Linked DNA regions of Caenorhabditis elegans. The protein of the gene in region 1 purifies or fractionates together with the protein of each later gene. This does not show direct contact. Each region holds a gene or a part of one and is shown in the gene's direction. Other genes may lie near its edges.

What was found.
Region 2: the proteins of F53H1.3 (region 1) and ZK1320.3 fractionate together in Caenorhabditis elegans (co-fractionation; one large-scale study listed by BioGRID). This does not show direct contact.

The regions. Positions count from the first base shown.
Region 1 is NC_003282.8:1,324,272-1,332,834, forward strand, and holds the start of F53H1.3 (UDENN domain-containing protein), read left to right. Parts: upstream 1-4,890; 5' UTR 4,891-4,891; coding exon 4,892-4,987; intron 4,988-5,173; coding exon 5,174-5,295; intron 5,296-5,587; coding exon 5,588-5,732; intron 5,733-7,185; coding exon 7,186-7,291; intron 7,292-7,345; coding exon 7,346-7,485; intron 7,486-8,563. Other genes in the region: F53H1.4 (PHD-type domain-containing protein), read left to right, coding at 677-1,230, 3,108-3,386.
Region 2 is NC_003280.10:9,656,626-9,665,016, reverse strand, and holds ZK1320.3 (uncharacterized protein), read left to right. Parts: upstream 1-4,597; 5' UTR 4,598-4,601; coding exon 4,602-4,765; intron 4,766-4,958; coding exon 4,959-5,047; intron 5,048-5,146; coding exon 5,147-5,248; intron 5,249-5,293; coding exon 5,294-5,424; intron 5,425-5,495; coding exon 5,496-5,573; intron 5,574-5,669; coding exon 5,670-5,732; 3' UTR 5,733-5,771; downstream 5,772-8,391. Other genes in the region: ZK1320.5 (uncharacterized protein), read left to right, coding at 29-213, 275-472, 617-697, 750-864, 920-1,401; cyp-13A10 (Putative cytochrome P450 CYP13A10), read left to right, coding at 2,177-2,226, 2,270-2,737, 2,785-2,884, 2,931-3,230, 3,276-3,532, 3,580-3,723, 3,862-4,102; ZK1320.2 (uncharacterized protein), read left to right, coding at 6,019-6,182, 6,325-6,413, 6,519-6,620, 6,669-6,799, 6,883-6,960, 7,006-7,068; gstk-1 (Glutathione S-transferase kappa 1), read right to left, coding at 7,355-7,504, 7,556-8,017, 8,200-8,268.

The DNA.
Region 1 (8,563 bases):
AGAAAAATTGGAATTATTAAGCTTTTAAGACGTTTTTTTCAGTTTTACTGGCATTTTCTTATTAATCTAGATGAGAGCTTCAATTTAAGTATAAATATGGCGTATTTTACGCAAATTTTAAACAAAATTGGGTCTCGCCACAAAATTCTACAGTAACCCACAGGTTTTCGTGGTGGGACCCAATTTTTTCAGACTTTGCGCAAAGTAGGTCAAAGTTATACGGTAACTCGGCAACAATATTGTCTGTGACTTGTGTGTTTCTCTATCCGAATTGATGGTTTGAATAGTGGTATTCTCGGCTGAAACATGCAATAAATACCGTATTCCAACCAACAATTTGTGCAATAGAGCACATTTGTCACCGGAGATGCGGAAGCTATGCCCAAATTTTCATTTTTCCGGTGGAAAATAAACTGGTGAAATCCGGTGACAAATTTGGAATTTGTGCGATTTTAGTTAATCTGGTGTTAATATTCGCTACATTTTGTTTAAAAGTTTTCGAAAATTCATAGGCTTCAGGGGGTTAAAAACTAGCTAGTTTAGGCTGAAAACTGTCCAAATTTGAATTTTACAAATTTTGATGAAAATATGTCAAATTAGGCGAAAATTAGCAGAAAATTCGGAAAATAACTAGATTTTCAAAGTCAAAATTTAACTTTTTTTTTGCATTTTCCAGAGTGCTTCTCCCATCTAAAAATGCCACGTTTCTGCCGTCGTGTACAGGAAGCTTCAAATGCATCCTGTCTTCACATGCTTCTAGCCTATTTTGATGCCCGAATCGACCAACAACGTACACTTCCAGAACTTTCATGTCAAGTGTGCCGCCGGAAGACTGGAACCGAGAGGAAGCTGATGTGTAAGCAGTGTTCTACAGTATTCCATTACGGTTGTCATCGTCCAACGATTAGTCGAGCTCTTTTCGAAGAGGAAGGCTTCAAGGAGGGATGGTGGTGTGCAAAGTGTACTAAGGAAGATCGTAGAAGGCAACTATCGGAAGCTAAGGAGGATCTTCGACAGAAGGAAGAAGGTGGAGGGGATGAAGAAGATCATCATGGAAGTGGTGAATCTGACGATGAGGATGAGGAGGATATTGTTGAAGAAGAGACTCGAGGAAGATCTGCTAAACGAAAGGCCAACGCTGCAATGCGAGATGTGCTTGAATTTGAGGGAGTGCTGAGGCAGACGCCTGCCCCGCCACCGCCGAAGCGGCAGAAGACCGTTGTTGTGCCGGTAAGGGTGAAAATTGGATGGAAATTCTGGCGAAAAACTGGGTTTTACTGGATTTTTTCCCAAAAAAATTGGAAAAATTATGGATTTTAGAAAAACAAAGGAAAAAACGGAAAATATAGAACTTTCGACAACTTTTTTCCGAAAAAAATTGATTGAACAATTTAGGACTTTTCCGACTTTTTATGGAAAAAAATTCAAAAAATTATGGTTCTTTTCCGATTTTTACGAATATATTGGAAATTTTTTGGATTTTGGAAAAACAAAGGAAAAAACGGAAAATATAGGATTTTCGACTTTTTTTTTCCGAAAAAAGTCAATTTTTGGTTCTTTCCTTTTTTTTCAGGAAAAAATTGGAAAATTTCTGGGTTTTCCCGACTTTTTATGAAAAAAATTCAAAAATTTTGGATTTTTCAGTTTTTTTCCGGAGAAAGAGCAAAAATTTGGGGTTTGCCGGATTTTTTCCGACGAAAATTGGAAAAATTATGGATTTTTCCGATTTTTTCCGAAAAAAACGGAACATTTTAGGTCTTTTCCGACTTTTTATGGAAAAAAAATTCAAAAAATTATGGTTCTTTTCCGATTTTTACGAATATATTGGAAAATTTCTGGATTTTTCGATTTTTTTTTCCGGAAAAATTGACCAATTTTTAGTTTTTTCACCCTCTTTTCCAGAGAAAAATTGGAAAAAAAACTGATTTGCTACCGAAGAAATTGAAAAAATTATGGATTTTTCGACTTTTTTTCAGAAAAAATTGGAATATTTTTGAATTTTGGAAGATTCGTCTAAAATTAGAAATTTTTCGAAAATATCTATTCCCAAATTTTCCATTTGTTGAGCAAAATTTTGTGAGTTTTGCGAAAAACTGGGTTTTACTGGATTTTTTCCCAAAAAAATTGGAAAAATTATGGATTTTAGAAAAACAAAGGAAAAAACGACGGAAAATATAGAATTTTCGACTTTTTTCCGAAAAAAAATTGAACAATTTTTGGTTCTTTCCATTTTTCTTTTCCGGAAAAAAGGTCAATTTTTGGGTTTTCTAACTGTTTTACCAAAAAATTGGAAATTTTTTGATTTTGGAAAAACAAATGAAAAAACGGAAAATATAGGATTTTAGACTTAAAAAAAATCAATTTTTGGTTCTTTCCATTTTTTTTTTTGCCGGAAAAAATTGGAAAATTTCTGAGTTTTCCCGACTTTTTATGAAAAAAATTCAAAAATTTTGGATTTTTCAGTTTTTTTCCGGAAATATTAAACAATTTTTTTTCTCACCCTTTTTTTCAGAGAAAAATTGGCAAAAAAAAACTGATTTGTTACGGAAGAAATTGACAAAAAATAGATTTTTCGACTTTATTTCCGGAAAAAATTGAAAATGTTTGGATTTTTTGGAAGATTCGTCTAAAATTAGAAATTTTCAGCCAATAAAATTTAGACAATTTCTCGAAAATATATGTATTTCCAAATGTTCCTTTTTTTTGAGCAAAAACTTGTGAATTTTCATTCAATTTGTCCAGAAAATCAATTTTTCCGTAATTTTTCCGCTACTTTGAAAAAAAATTAGGTCTAACAAAAACCTACAGTAACCCACAGGTTTTCGTGGCGGGACCCAATTTTTTAGACATTGCGCAAAGTAGGACAAAGTTATACTGAACTAAATTTCCCTGTATATTGTCTGTGACTTGTGTGTTTCTCTATCCGAATTGATGGTTTGAATAGTGGTATTCTCGGCTGAAACATGCAATAAATACCGTATTCCAACTAACAATTTGTGCAATAGAGCACATTTGTCACCGGGGATGCGGAAGCTATGCCCAATTTTTCAATTTTTTGTTAAAAACTTGAGAATTTTTCCAGAAAATCAATTTTTCCAAATTTTCAGGAAGTGCTGGAGCTGTTCAACTCGATCGAACGTGCCAATCCTCGACTCTACAAGACCCTGCAACAAATTCCCGGCCAATCCCGTTCGACACGTAACGCTCAACACGAGAATCGCTCTCTGCCGGATATTGAGCAAGATTTGGACGTTTACACGTCTGCCGAGCAGCTTCACGAGCATTTGAGCCAATTCTTCCGTCATGCACGTGGATACATTGAGACTCATAACCCAAGAAAGTTGGATGATCTTGATGAGCTCATTTCTGAACTCAATTTTATGTGATTTATTTCGGAATACACTGAAAAATCTTCTTTTTTTTTTGAAAGTGTATCATTTTTATTGTGAAAAGTGTCCTAAAATGCAGTTGAAATGTTGAAAAATCGGTTTTTTAAATTAAAAATTTAAATTTTCGGAATTTTTTCCCAAAAAAATTGAATATTTTAAATTTTCCGATTTTTTTTCCAAAAAATTCGAATTTTTCAAATAAAAATTTCCAAAAATATGAATTTAATTTTTTTTTTGAAAAAATTCGAAATTTTTCGACTTTTATTTGCAAATTTGGAGATTTTTCCAGTTTTCGCAGAATTTTTTGATATTTTTTCTACATTTTTTACTTTTTTCCCTATTTTCTCACTATTTAATCCCAAAAAAAACTATCAATTTCTTATTTTTCTCACTTTTTCACAGATTCTCCAAATTTTCCTGTCCCTTTAAGATTTTTTTTCACCCCCCGGCAACGAGTTTTGGCATTTTTTTGAAATTTTTCATCATGGCATTCGATCATTTTATCTAATTTATTGTAATTTTTTGGGTGAGAACCCCCTCATTTTTCGATTGTAAAACGTTGAAATAAAGTTGGCACACGTAATAATGAAGTTACAGTAATCCAGCGGTGGGTCTCGAGTGGAAAACTTGGAAATTTTGAAATTTCCGGTTATTTTTTGCTGGAAATTGTAGGTTTTCAATGGAAAGAATTCAATTTGAAGTGAATTTCACAAAGAATTCGAAAACATGGAAAATACACAAATTCCGGAAATTTTCTGGGTCTCGAGTGTAAAACTTCAAAAATTTGAATTTCCAGGTTAATTTCGCTGATAAAGACAACTTTTCTGGTGAGAAACTCGCGACTTAGGATGAAAATTGTGGTAAATATTCAACAATTTTGGAATTTTTTGGGTCTCGAGTGGAAAATACAAAAATAATTAGATTTTTCGATTATTTTATTCTAAACATTGTGTTATAATCGTTTAAACAAACCATTTGCTTAATTTTAACGACAATTTTCGTTAAAAATATCTAAATTAAGCTTGAAAACATTTTTTTTTAACAGAAAAAACATTTGCGCGTCAATTAAAGTGTATTGTATGCAATGCGTACTTTTTCGCTTACCGTAGTTAGCACATATTTAAATAGACATTCAATTTGAATTATTCGTGAAATTCATTTGTTTGGTATAATCTATCTGATTTCAAATCTTGCTTAAACTTTCGGATTCGGCTGAAAATCCCCCGAAAATCCCCTGAAAATCGGTTAAAACCAAAACAATGCAAGTGCGCTCCATCGCACCACCGAGAGAGCACGCATTCCGTGGAGTGCGCGAGATGACGAGAGAGACGGAACCGGTTTCTTTGTTCGTTTTTGCCGATTTTGCGCCGTTTTTCATGAATTTTCCAGTTTTTTTCGCTGAAAATCAGCTAATTTATCGATTTTCTCACCATTTTTACCCTAAAAATCTTGAAAATCCACCTAAAAAGCACAGAAAACCTGGAATCTTGAAAATTTTCAGAATGGAGCCGGATATTGAGCCATGGGACCGGTTTCGCGACTGGCTTCACTGCATTTGTGTGGTCACGTTTGATTTGGAGCTTGGACAGGCGTTGGAAGTGAGGATTTGCAGAAAAACTGAAAAAAAAATGCAGAAAAATCAAAAAATCCCGGATTTTCTGACTTTTCGCTGCGAGACCCGGAAATTTTCGCATTTTTTAAAATGATTAATGTGATTATACTCAAATCAAAGCTCTCGACGAGCTGAGCACGATTTTGACAAAAAAAAAATCTGGTTTTTTCAGGTAATCTACCCAGGAGACGCAATTCTATCGAACACTGAAAAAATCAATATCTGCTATTTGGCATTTCCAGACTCGAATTCCAGTAATGCACGAGACACAAATTTTCATTTCAGGATACGCAGGTGATTTTTTGAGATTAAAAATTTCGGAAAAAAATATTTTTTTTTCAAATTTTGAGAAAAAATTTTTTTGGCTGAAATCTGAAAATTTGCGAGTGATTTCCGTGTTCAGCTCACCGAGAGCTTTGATTTAAGTATAATTATGACCTACTTTGCTGAATTTTGAAGAAAATTGGGTTTTCGTGGCGGGACCCAACTTTTTTCAAATTTCAGCAAACTAGGTCATGTTTATACTCATTTTGAAGCTTTAAGTGAGCTGAATTCAATGCAAATACTCAAAATTAAAAATTTTCAGAGCAATCAGTGACGTCAGAGACTGCCAAAAGTCGTTTGTCGACAAATCTCCGACGTCTCTACCCTTTGATACACACTATTTATACGGTTTTGTGCATTTTCGGCAATGCAAAGACCCGACAATTCATCGAGGATATTATCAGAAGGTTCATAACCGGAACGCAATAAAATTGGCGAAAATTTGAGTGAAAATTCGAGTTTTTCCCCGCTAAAATTCACTTTTTTCCGGAAAAATGGAACAATTTTTAGTATTTTCCCCTTTTTTTTGGAAAAAACGGAATTTTTTAAATGTTCGTCTTTTGCCAAAAAAAGGGTAAAACTATGGATTGTCGGCTTTTTTTCCAGAAAAATGGAAAATTTTAGGCTTTTCAATTTTTTAAAAAGGAAATTCGACAAATTGTCACAATTTTATGACCTTTCCCAGAAAAATTGGAATTATTAAGCTTTTAAGACGTTTTTTTCAGTTTTACTGGCATTTTCTTATTAATCTAGATGAGAGCTTCAATTTAAGTATAAATATGGCGTATTTTACGCAAATTTTAAACAAAATTGGGTCTCGTCACAAAATTCTACAGTAACCCACAGGTTTTCGTGGTGGGACCCAATTTTTTCAGACTTTGCGCAAAGTAGGTCAAAGTTATACGGTAACTCGAAAACAATATTGTCTGTGACTTGTGTGTTTTTCTATCCGAATTGATGGTTTGAATAGTGGTATTCTCGGCTGAAATATGCAATAAATACCGTTTTCCAACCAACAATTCGGTGCAATAGAGCACATTTGTCACCGGGGATGCGGAAGCTATGCCCAAATTTTCATTTAGCGCGGAAATTTGGCTGTTTTCGGGTGTAAAGTAGAAAATTTGGAAATTTCGACATTAAAATTTATTATAAAATTTGAAAAAAAAACCCATAAAAACCCTTTTTTCTGACAATTTTCTGTTTTTTTTAAATCCCAGTTTCCGAGGAAAGCTATAAATTTGGGTACGGTAACTCGGAATTTATGATGTTTTTTTTTTAAGCTGTAAAAACTGAAAAATTCTGCTCAATTTCCAATTTTTTGTTGAAAACCTAGTGGTTTCTTGGATTGTTCTAATTTTTAATCAAAATCCTGCTGAAAATTAGAATTTTTAGCTTTTCCGCTTGTTTTTCGGAATTTTTTGTGGCTTTTTCCAGGTAAAAAATCCGTTTTTTACGGAAAAAACGGCAAATTTTTGAATTTTTCGATGTTTTTCCCATGAAAATCAAAAAATTTGTATTTTTTGTTTTTTTTATAGGAAATTCGAATAGTTTTTTTTTTCGTGGCGAGACCCAACTTTTTCAGACTTTGCGCAAAGTAGGTCAAAATTGAACGGCAACTGAACTGAATTTCCCTATATATTGTCTGTGACTTGTGTGTTTCTCTATCCGAATTGATGGTTTGAATAGTGGTATTCTCGGCTGAAATATGCAATAAATACCGTATTCCAACCAACAATTTGTGCAATAGAGCACATTTGTCACTAGAGATGCGGAAGCTATGCCCAAATTTTCCATTTCTCAGCCTGAAAACTTGGCTGAAAATCCATTCCTTTTTTTTTTTAGCTAATTTTCTATTTCCAGAGCATCGTCCTAATGTCAGTGCTCCCACTGTTTTCCTTGTTCTACTCAGTTACCGCCCGCATCGCTGAGCATTTTTTTGAAAGTGGAGAAGCAGCAATTGAAGCAGGTAGCCGCCACCTGAAATTGGAAAAAAAAACTAAAATTTTCTGAAATTTTCCAGCCTGCCATCACATTGACACGTGGCAACAGCCGCACGCTGGTCGGACTATTGAGTTACCGTTGCTCGGTACTTTAATCAGTTGCCGCCTACCGGCCGCCTGTGATCTACCATATGAATTCCGGCTTGATGGACATGTTGAGGTAGCTAAAATTGGAAAAAATTGGAAAAAAAAAACTCGAAAAATTGAACATTTTTGGTCTGAAAAAATGTCCGGAATCTATCAGAAAATTGAAATAAATAGAGAATTGTGAAATTTTTAGCCGAAAAATTCTTATTTCTAGATATTTTTTGAAGAATATTCCAATGATGTTCCAGAATCTTTGAATTTTTTTTTAAATTTAAGAAAATCACAAAAATTTCAGAATTTTAATTCTATAAGTTTTCGAAAAAGAAAATTTCTTCAAAAAATCAGAAAATATGCTGAAAATTAACGAAAAATTGGAGATAATTTATTACAAAAATTTTCAGAAATTAAAAAAACAAAACTGAAAAATCTAAAATATTATCCAAAAAGAAGTGTATTATAAATTCACTAAAAATCTCAAAAAATCCAAAATTTATCAGAAAATTTAGAGAAATTCACTAGAAATTGCGTAAATTTCTGAAAATTCGAAATATTATCAAAATTTGGACAAAAAAATCGCAAAAACCCCCAAAACTATCGGGCAATTGTGAAAATTTCAGAAAAAAAACTCAAAAATTTAAGAGCTTTAATTCTAGAAATTTTCGAAAAATTCCAAAAAAATCACAAAATTTTTCAAAAAATTAAAAAAAAAATTTGAAATCTCGAGAAATCCAAAATTTTTCAGAAAATTTTCAAAAATTTTTTGAAAAAATTTGAGAAAATCCTTCAAAAACCTATAATTTTATTAGTTTCCTAAACTTTTTTCAAAAAGTCTTTAAAAATCCCCATATTTTTTGTTGTTGTAAAACACCGAAAATTCTAGAAGTTTTTTGCAAAAAAAATCAGACAAAAGCTCAAAATTAACGAAAATTTTAGAAAATCTTTGAAAATTCCAGAAATGTTTAGAGTTTTCTAAAATTATTTCGAAAAATCTCAGAAATTCTCTAAAAAAATCCACAATATCGAAAATCGAAAAATCTTCAGCAAAATTTTTGTAGTGTAATGTGTCAAAAATTTTCAAAACTCGTATTAAAATACAAAAAAAAAATCGATTTTCCCACAATTTTTCCCTCCAAAACCACTCAAATTTTTGC
Region 2 (8,391 bases), on another chromosome or scaffold:
ATTATTTTTCTAAAATAAACCTTTCCAGCTGCAATGTGGGGTGCCAACGTGAATCGCACGACAAAATCCGAAGCCTTCTTCTCGACAACTCTATCAGTCAGCCGTGCTATTCCAGCACTCACTGTGTTTTGGACAACTGTTGAACGGATAACGTACAATCGGAGTCCAACGATTCGAGAAAGTCCCAAGTTTCGATATGTGGCAGTTTTCCGGGTGGGTATCAATATTTTTATTACAATAAATATTAAATACAAATACTAAATACCTTTTATAGGTCATCGAAGTAGTGGTCTCCGTAATTATGGAGATGATTATTCGAGGAATCTATTTGAATAGTGATGATCAACTCAAAGAAGCTGCTGGACTTGAAGTTCTTCAATCTTCAAATGATGAAATTTCAATCAAAAGTTCACTCATCGCGAATGTATACTACGACTTCTATCACGGAATATTGTTTTTGCCATGTATTATAGTAAGTATCCTGTTTTGGCTAGTTTATATATTCAACAGAAAATAAAAATCCTATGTTTAGTTCCCTTAGAAAAAGTCTCACGCATGTGACGCAATTTCAACAAAACTTAAATAAACATATTATAATTATTATTTTGAATTTCAGATCTCGGTTCTCATGTTCAAATCGGCAAAAGGTTCTCACACTCGTGCCTGCCTACTCGGTGGAATGAGAAATGACCAGAAAGTGAGTTTTTTGAGGATTTATATTCTAGTTTTACATTTGACATCAATTTTAGATCCAAAATCTCAGTGGACAAATGACGTTTTTCAAAAATTCCTACATCATGCTGTACATCGCTTGTTTGGCCGACTTCATCTTGCATGTAATTGTCAAGAGATTTATAAATCTAGGTGAGTTTAATATGAAATAAAGATCAGAATAGTCTGAAAACTAAACTTCTTTCAGAAGATTCCACGCTTGATATGATGTACATCAATGCTCGATGCTTTCTTCCAATTGTTTACCCATTATCACTAATCGCTAACAACAAAAATCTCCGAATCGACTATTTCGGAAACTTCATTCTCTGTCGAAAAGCCAGAAATCTGCATAAAGAGTCCAAAGTCAAGGTCATTGCAACACGAGAATCACAAGAATCCATCATTGCCAACTTGAAAATGATCGGAATTCTCAGTGACGTGGATACCTCTCAGGGTGGCGCTGGTGCTGCAAGCCTCGCAATGATGGGAATGGGCGGAGGAGGTGCTCCAAGACCTCCCAGTGGAGGTCGAATGGCTTCTATATCCAAAGATCCTAATTCAATTACGTCTTCCGGAAGTCTAGCTAAGCAAAGTACAGCTTCAATGGGCAGTGGTGGAGCTTCGGGTATGATGATGTTCCACACGAGGCCTAAAAGTTCGGTACCATCGATGGGATCTGTTGGGTGATCAACATATAGATACTATGTATTTTAATTATTCGTTCATCGGCAATTCTAATAAATGTTATCTTTTTGAGTTTAAGTTTTTCCTGTCTATACATTCCTGTACCATATGATAGTGAGACATGTCTATATAAATGTCTGACTAGATCTCGTGAATGAATAACAAAAAGTTGGTTATTGGCCATCTATCATAACAAAATAGCAAAGTTAATCAAATAATTGAAACAGATCAGAGCACAATTTGTGTTAAATATCAACAGCAGGGTTAGGTAAAACTTTCGGGTTAGGAATACATTAATATCTAGTCATTTCAACCACATTTTTATATACATATGAAAGTACGTTTGAAAATTTGCTGACTTATTGTAAGATGTGCTTGTTATTTTATCAAAAATACTTGATTTTTTCTGGTTTCCACTAGATTTGACTTTCTTGCGCAATATGACACAAAGCCTTGCCCACAAAAATGCCTGGCAATGTTACTTCCAGAGTTGCTAAACTAAATTAAGTTAATCGGTGATTTCTTCAAATCTGCAGACCAAACTCCAGAAACTGGCTACAGGATAGACTAGAGTTAGTGGTCTTGATATCATCATTGTAATCCAATTACTCACTGATTCTGCGCAAGGAGTCACAAAATCGTCGAGACGGAGACACAAAAAGTGTGTCAGATAGTTGCCGTTTTTGTGTCCGATTTCTTGTAAATATAAAAACAAATTTTATTTTTGGAAATATTTGTTTAAAATATACAGACTTCGTTTACAAGAAAATACAACTAAATGAGTGTTATTTTACTTGCTATTCCAACTTTGTTCATTGGTTTTATCAGGTATTTTTTATTTATTTCTCAAAGCTAAATATATTTATTTAAGTTACTACCTCTGGATATGGACATATTGGAGACGGCGTGGTATCCCTGGACCTCTAGGTTATCCATTAGTTGGAAGTTTTCCAAAAACTCTCAAATCAGAATATCCTCAATACTTACAAATCAGAGATTGGACAAAACTTTATGGTCCAATATATGGATACACTGAAGGAACCATTAAAACTCTAATTGTTTCTGATATCGACATTGTTCGTCAAATTTTTGTTGAGCAGTATGACAACTTCTATGGTAGAAAACTGAATCCAATTCAAGGTGATCCGGAAAAAGACGAGAGAACTAACTTGTTCTCGGCTCAAGGATTTAGATGGAAAAGGCTCAGAGCTATATCTAGTCCTACTTTTTCGAATAACAGTTTGAGAAAAATCAATGTAACTGTGGAAGACAGTGCGATGGAATTATTGAGACATATTGAAGAACAAACTTCGGAGGGACAACAAATTGATATGTTACAGTGAGTTTTCGATGTATTGGAAAAGTAATTTAAATTTTAAATTACAGATTCTACCAAGAGTTCACAATGGATACTATAGGACGAATTGCAATGGGTCAGACCGACTCGCAAATGTTCAAAAATCCACTTTTGAAGTTTGTCAGAGCGGTTCGTTTTGGTACTATTACCAGTGAAATTCAACATATATTTCCAGATATTCGGAGATAATCGAAAGCATATTCCCCTCATCGGTGGAGTTTTTCCTACTCTTGCTCAAGTTTTTCGATTTTTTATGTTGAAATTTCCATTGTTGGGAGCAGCCAATTTCATTCACGTCAACAAAACTGTTGTGACAGCCGTTCAAAATCGTATAGATCAGAGGGAGAATGATAGAAAAAATGGAATTGAAATCGGAGAGCCACAGGATTTTATCGATTTATTTTTGGAAGCAAGAGCAGATGATGTGGAGCATTTTCAAGAGAATAATGGGGATTTTTCAAAGACTAGTAGCTATGTGAGTTTCAGGAGAAAAATTATTCCTGAATTTAAAAAATTGCAGGGAAACCGTCAACTAACAACTCAAGAAATAGTCGGTCAGTGTCTCGTTTTTTTGATTGCTGGCTTCGATACAACTGCTCTATCCTTATCCTATACTACATTTCTCCTAGCAACACATCCAGAAGTTCAAAAGAAATTACAAGAAGAAATAGAACGAGAATGCATAGAACCATCAATTTCATTTGATCATCTCTCAAAACTAAAATACATGGATTGTATTATCAAAGAGACTTTACGTTTGTACCCTTTGGGAACAATGTAGGAGTTTTAAATTTATACTTCACATAAAAAAACAATTATTCCAGGGCGAACTCTCGGAGATGCATGAGAGCCACTAAATTGGGAAATGTAGAAGTTGAAGTTGGAACAATGGTTCAAGTAGATACTTGGAGTCTTCATACTGATACAAAGATTTGGGGAGATGATGCGAAGGAGTTCAAGCCAGAAAGGTTTTTTTTTCAAAATTAAAAAATATATTCAGATGTATTATTGGCTTAATTTTTGAAAGTTTTAAAAAGCGAATCACTTTGGAGAGTATTCCACCTTTTAAATTATTTAGTAAGAGATCCTACTAGTTATTATTTCAGATGGCTTGACCCCAACTGTGACCAAGTTTTCCAAAAAGGAGGATATATTTCATTCGGATTAGGACCTCGTCAGTGCGTTGGAATGCGATTGGCTTATATGGAGGAAAAGATGCTCTTGGCTCATATTCTTAGAAAATATACATTTGAAGTTGGCACCAAGACAGAAATCCCATTGAAATTAGTTGGAAGAGCCACGACTCAACCGGAAACTGTTTGGATGCATTTGAAGCAAAGGATATGAACTCAATAATTTTCGACCCTCTTTGTTTGTATTTTAGTCATCGAAAAAGCTTTCAAATAAAACTTTCTTGCTTTTTAGAGTCTGAAAATGTTCAGCCTATTTTCTGAGAAACTCGTCTATCCTTTAATTGAAGAACAATTTTGAAAAACATATCAGACTAATTTGGTATTTCTACTAATTTTACTCGCATAAACTTTTGAATCATCTGATTGTGAGCAATATTGGATCAAGAAATCAGTTTTGTTAAGCTGCTGGCTCCCCGGAATCAATGCTCATAAACTTATCTGTAAACAACTTGTCCTTTAACTTTTCCAGTGATATCATTAGTGCTTTCCCATTTTTCTATTTAATATTCTTATCACTATAACTGAATGTCAAAAGAAAACGCTCATAATTTAAAAAACGTCAGTTTTAGACTGATAACTCTCTCCACAATTCATACTAATTTGACCATTTGCTACTTAAATTTTTTGAAGCATATATTTATATTTTCAGGAGAATGAAGTTTCTTCTTATTGCTTGTTTGGCAGTTCCTGCAATCTTAGCTCAACAGACGTCTGCTCCAGGTGGAAATTTGTGTACTTATCCTCCACAAGGAGATGAATCAAACCAAAAGGCTGTTCCTATTCAGGACTTCAGAACGTCTGGATTAGATTTCGTTAGGTCAGTTTATGTTCAAAAATTGGAACAGCTTTAGTAATGATTGGTTTAGGCCGCGGCCAAGTTATGTTGAGCCAACTCTTGATGGTCTTACTAGTTAGACCCAGAAAAATACTTTGGCAACAGTGGGATACTAAACGATTACCAATTTTTGAACCACATAAATAGCCGAATATCTTAATTTAAAAAGTTTCAGACCAAATTGGTGCATCACCCACTGTGCTGACCGCAAATCTGTCAAAGCTGCTGTTCGCTTCCAATTTGCCAATCAGTCAACTGCAGTCCGTAAGTTAACATAGATCAGTACACTAAAGTACATGTAAAAACATTTGGAACATTATGAAAATACCAGTAAACATCCTAGAATTTAATGGGAATTTTCAGCAACCTACAAAGTTCGCCGTACTTTCACCCGTTATTCAGGAATGAAGGTTCATGCTGAGCTGATCAGCGGAAACCCGACCAAGCGTGACGATGATCCTTTTAGTAAGTGATTTCATCTTATGGTATAAATACATGTCAAAATTTCAGACTTCTGTATGGACGATGCTGTGTCGGCCCAGATTGATACTATTGTCAACACCTACAATGACATCGAAACCATGTCAGAAGCCCTCAACTTCTATATCAACAAGCCAGGATGGGCGTATATTATTTACGATGTAAGTTACACAAGTTTTTTTTTGGAAAATATATAGGTGTCTACTATTTCTACTTGAATACATATATTCAGATGGGAGTACCACCAAGCATCATTGAGACTGACAATGTCAAACACGATATGAACTACTGTGAGAAGTCTTCTAACAAGGTAAGTACTCAGAAAATGTTGTAAAATGCAACAAAACCAGACCTGCAAGTATCCGAATTAGAAATTAGACCTCACCAAATTTTACAAATTTTTCAGCAAATGCCGGATGGAACCTACATGACATATCAAGTATTCGCAGGACTTATCAAGGCTAATTGATTTTTTTCTTTTAATTTTTAATAAACGATTTAACTATTTAAAGTTTTACATTGAATATTTGATTCTTATTATTCTCAAAATGAAATCATTAGTGATTTTTCAATATTTAATTTTCCACTCTTTATTTTCCGTTATCAACACATTCAACTGGCAAAAGAGGAGGCCGGTGATGTGGAAAATTTCAGTTTTTAACTGATAACTTCCGATAATTTGACCATTTGCTACTCGCTTTGAAACGTTTTTGAGTATAGTTTCCTTTTCATTTTTATCGAGAGTTTTTAGGAAAATGAAGCTTCTTCTCCTTGCCTGCTTAGCAGTTCCAGCAATTTTTGCTCAACAAACTTCTGCTCCAGGAGGAAATTTGTGCAATTATACTCCAGTTGGAGATGAATCCACACAGGATGCAGTTCCAATTCAAGATTTCCGATCCTCTGGATTGGATTTTGTGAGGTTAGTATATTCCTTTTCAAGATTAAATTAAGAATTCATGTAAAGTCAGAGTGTCTGATCTAGAATTGTTTTATCCTTTTAATCAATAATTTTAAATTTAATTATTCAAATCCAGATGAAAAAATCCATTTCTACTTTTCAGACCAAATTGGTGCATCACTCACTGTGCTGACCGCAAATCCGTCAAGGTTGCTGCACGTTTCCAATTTGCCAATCAGTCAACTGCAGTTCGTAAGTTAGCGTTCAAAAAATATTGAAAGCCACTTCCTAGTTTTGAAAAATATAATTGAAATAAAATATGTGGAACTTTATCTAACTCATTTTCATATATTTCAGCAACCTACAATGTTCGCCGTCACTACACCCGTAAATCTGGAGTCAAGGTTCATGCTGAGCTGATCAGCGGCACTCCAACCAAGCGCGATGATGATGATTTCAGTGAGCTCCTCTTTTTCTAGAGTAAACCTGAAATTCATTTGTTTTCAGATTTCTGCATCGACGACACTGTTTCTGCAACAATCGATACGGTTGTTAAGACTTACAATGACATCGAAACCATGTCAGAGGCTCTCAACTTCTATATCAATAAGCCAGGATGGGCTTATGTCATCTATGATGTAAGTCATATCAGAATCAGAATTGGCTCACTGCTGATAAAATCCAAAAATTCAAATCCGAACTTTAACCCTATCCATTTAAGATGGGAGTTCCACCAAGCGTCATTGGAACCGACAATGTCAAGCAAGATATGAACTACTGCGAGAAGTTTGCCCAAAAGGTACACTTTTATTATCTAAAGTAGATAAAGCTTTTCTACTTTCAGCAAATGCCGGATGGAACCTGGGGTTTGTATCAAGTGTTCGCCGGATTGATCAAGGCCAACTGATTTGTGATTTTTTGGGTTTTTCCCACAACTAACAGTGCAGATGTAATTTGAATAAAACTTTGAACATATAATTAATTTTCTGGAATATTTTACAGTTCGTAAAATTGAAAAGTAACCTAGAGTGCAGCCAACTAAAAGATTTTAGATTCAAATCTTTTTGGAATTTTTCTTTGTAGTTTTTGAATCTATGATTATGTCGATTGTCAGACTGTTTCAGAGAGAGTTAATTAAAAATATTTACCCAATTTATTCATATATTTAGCGCATCTTATCTTACAACAAATATTTAAAGTTTTGATTTCTGGCCAAAAAGTCGGTCTGGAAGCGGTTGTGGCTGTTGAAGAAGGTCGGCAATCAAATGGAAACGGTCTGATCCAAAGAATGAATGCTCCGATCCATCTTCTGTGTGCACATTGATCCATGGAGCACCATATGCCTGAAAAAGTAAAATTGCCAATTTTTTTTAATTCAAAGATGAATAACTTACCATCAAATCAACTCCCTTATTCGTATTCTCCATCAAAATCTTTATATATTTCTCATCCTTGCTCTTTTCCACAATTTGCTCCGGATTCTTAACACCAACTGCCTTCAATACTTCCACAAAGTCTTGATCCTCAAAAATCTTCTCACTTCGAGACCACAATCTGACCCACATTTCCCGAGCTGCTCGGAGCATCAGCTCCTTATCCTGCTCCTGCAAAACCAACAAAACCTTCATTGCTCCAGTAGTACGGTACTTTTTGATCCATTCCATGAACAATGGTGGTGGAGTCAATGGAATATCCCAGAACTTTGCAGTTCGCTTCAAATCAGTCATCATCATAATTGATCGAGCTGGGAGCATTGCTGGAGGACGATTTCCTGATTCTTTCATGACGGCTCCGAGGAAAAATGGAATGTAACGGATTGTTACTCCTTTCCATTGGGTTTCCAGTTTTTGGAAGACCTGCAATTTATCATTGCATAATTTCTATAACTATAATAAATTTACGAATTTTAAAACTAAAAAATATTATTGTACCGTAACACTGTTCAAAAAAAATTCCTGACTTCCTAGGATAAGAGAACCATCGACACATGCGTACAACCACAGTTTTTTATGTAATATCGTATATAAAAAAAACCAACCTCAAAAGCAATATAACTGTACGGAGAAATCACGTCAAAATAAAAGTCGATACGTGGAAGTTTTGGCATTTTCCAAAATTAATTCGAATTTTTGGGCACGGCGAACGGAAATCTGCAAGACAAAAATCCGTAAGTTGAGTGTAGATTTGGAAAAGATGTTTTGAAAAATATTCGCGGGAACGATAAAGTAGA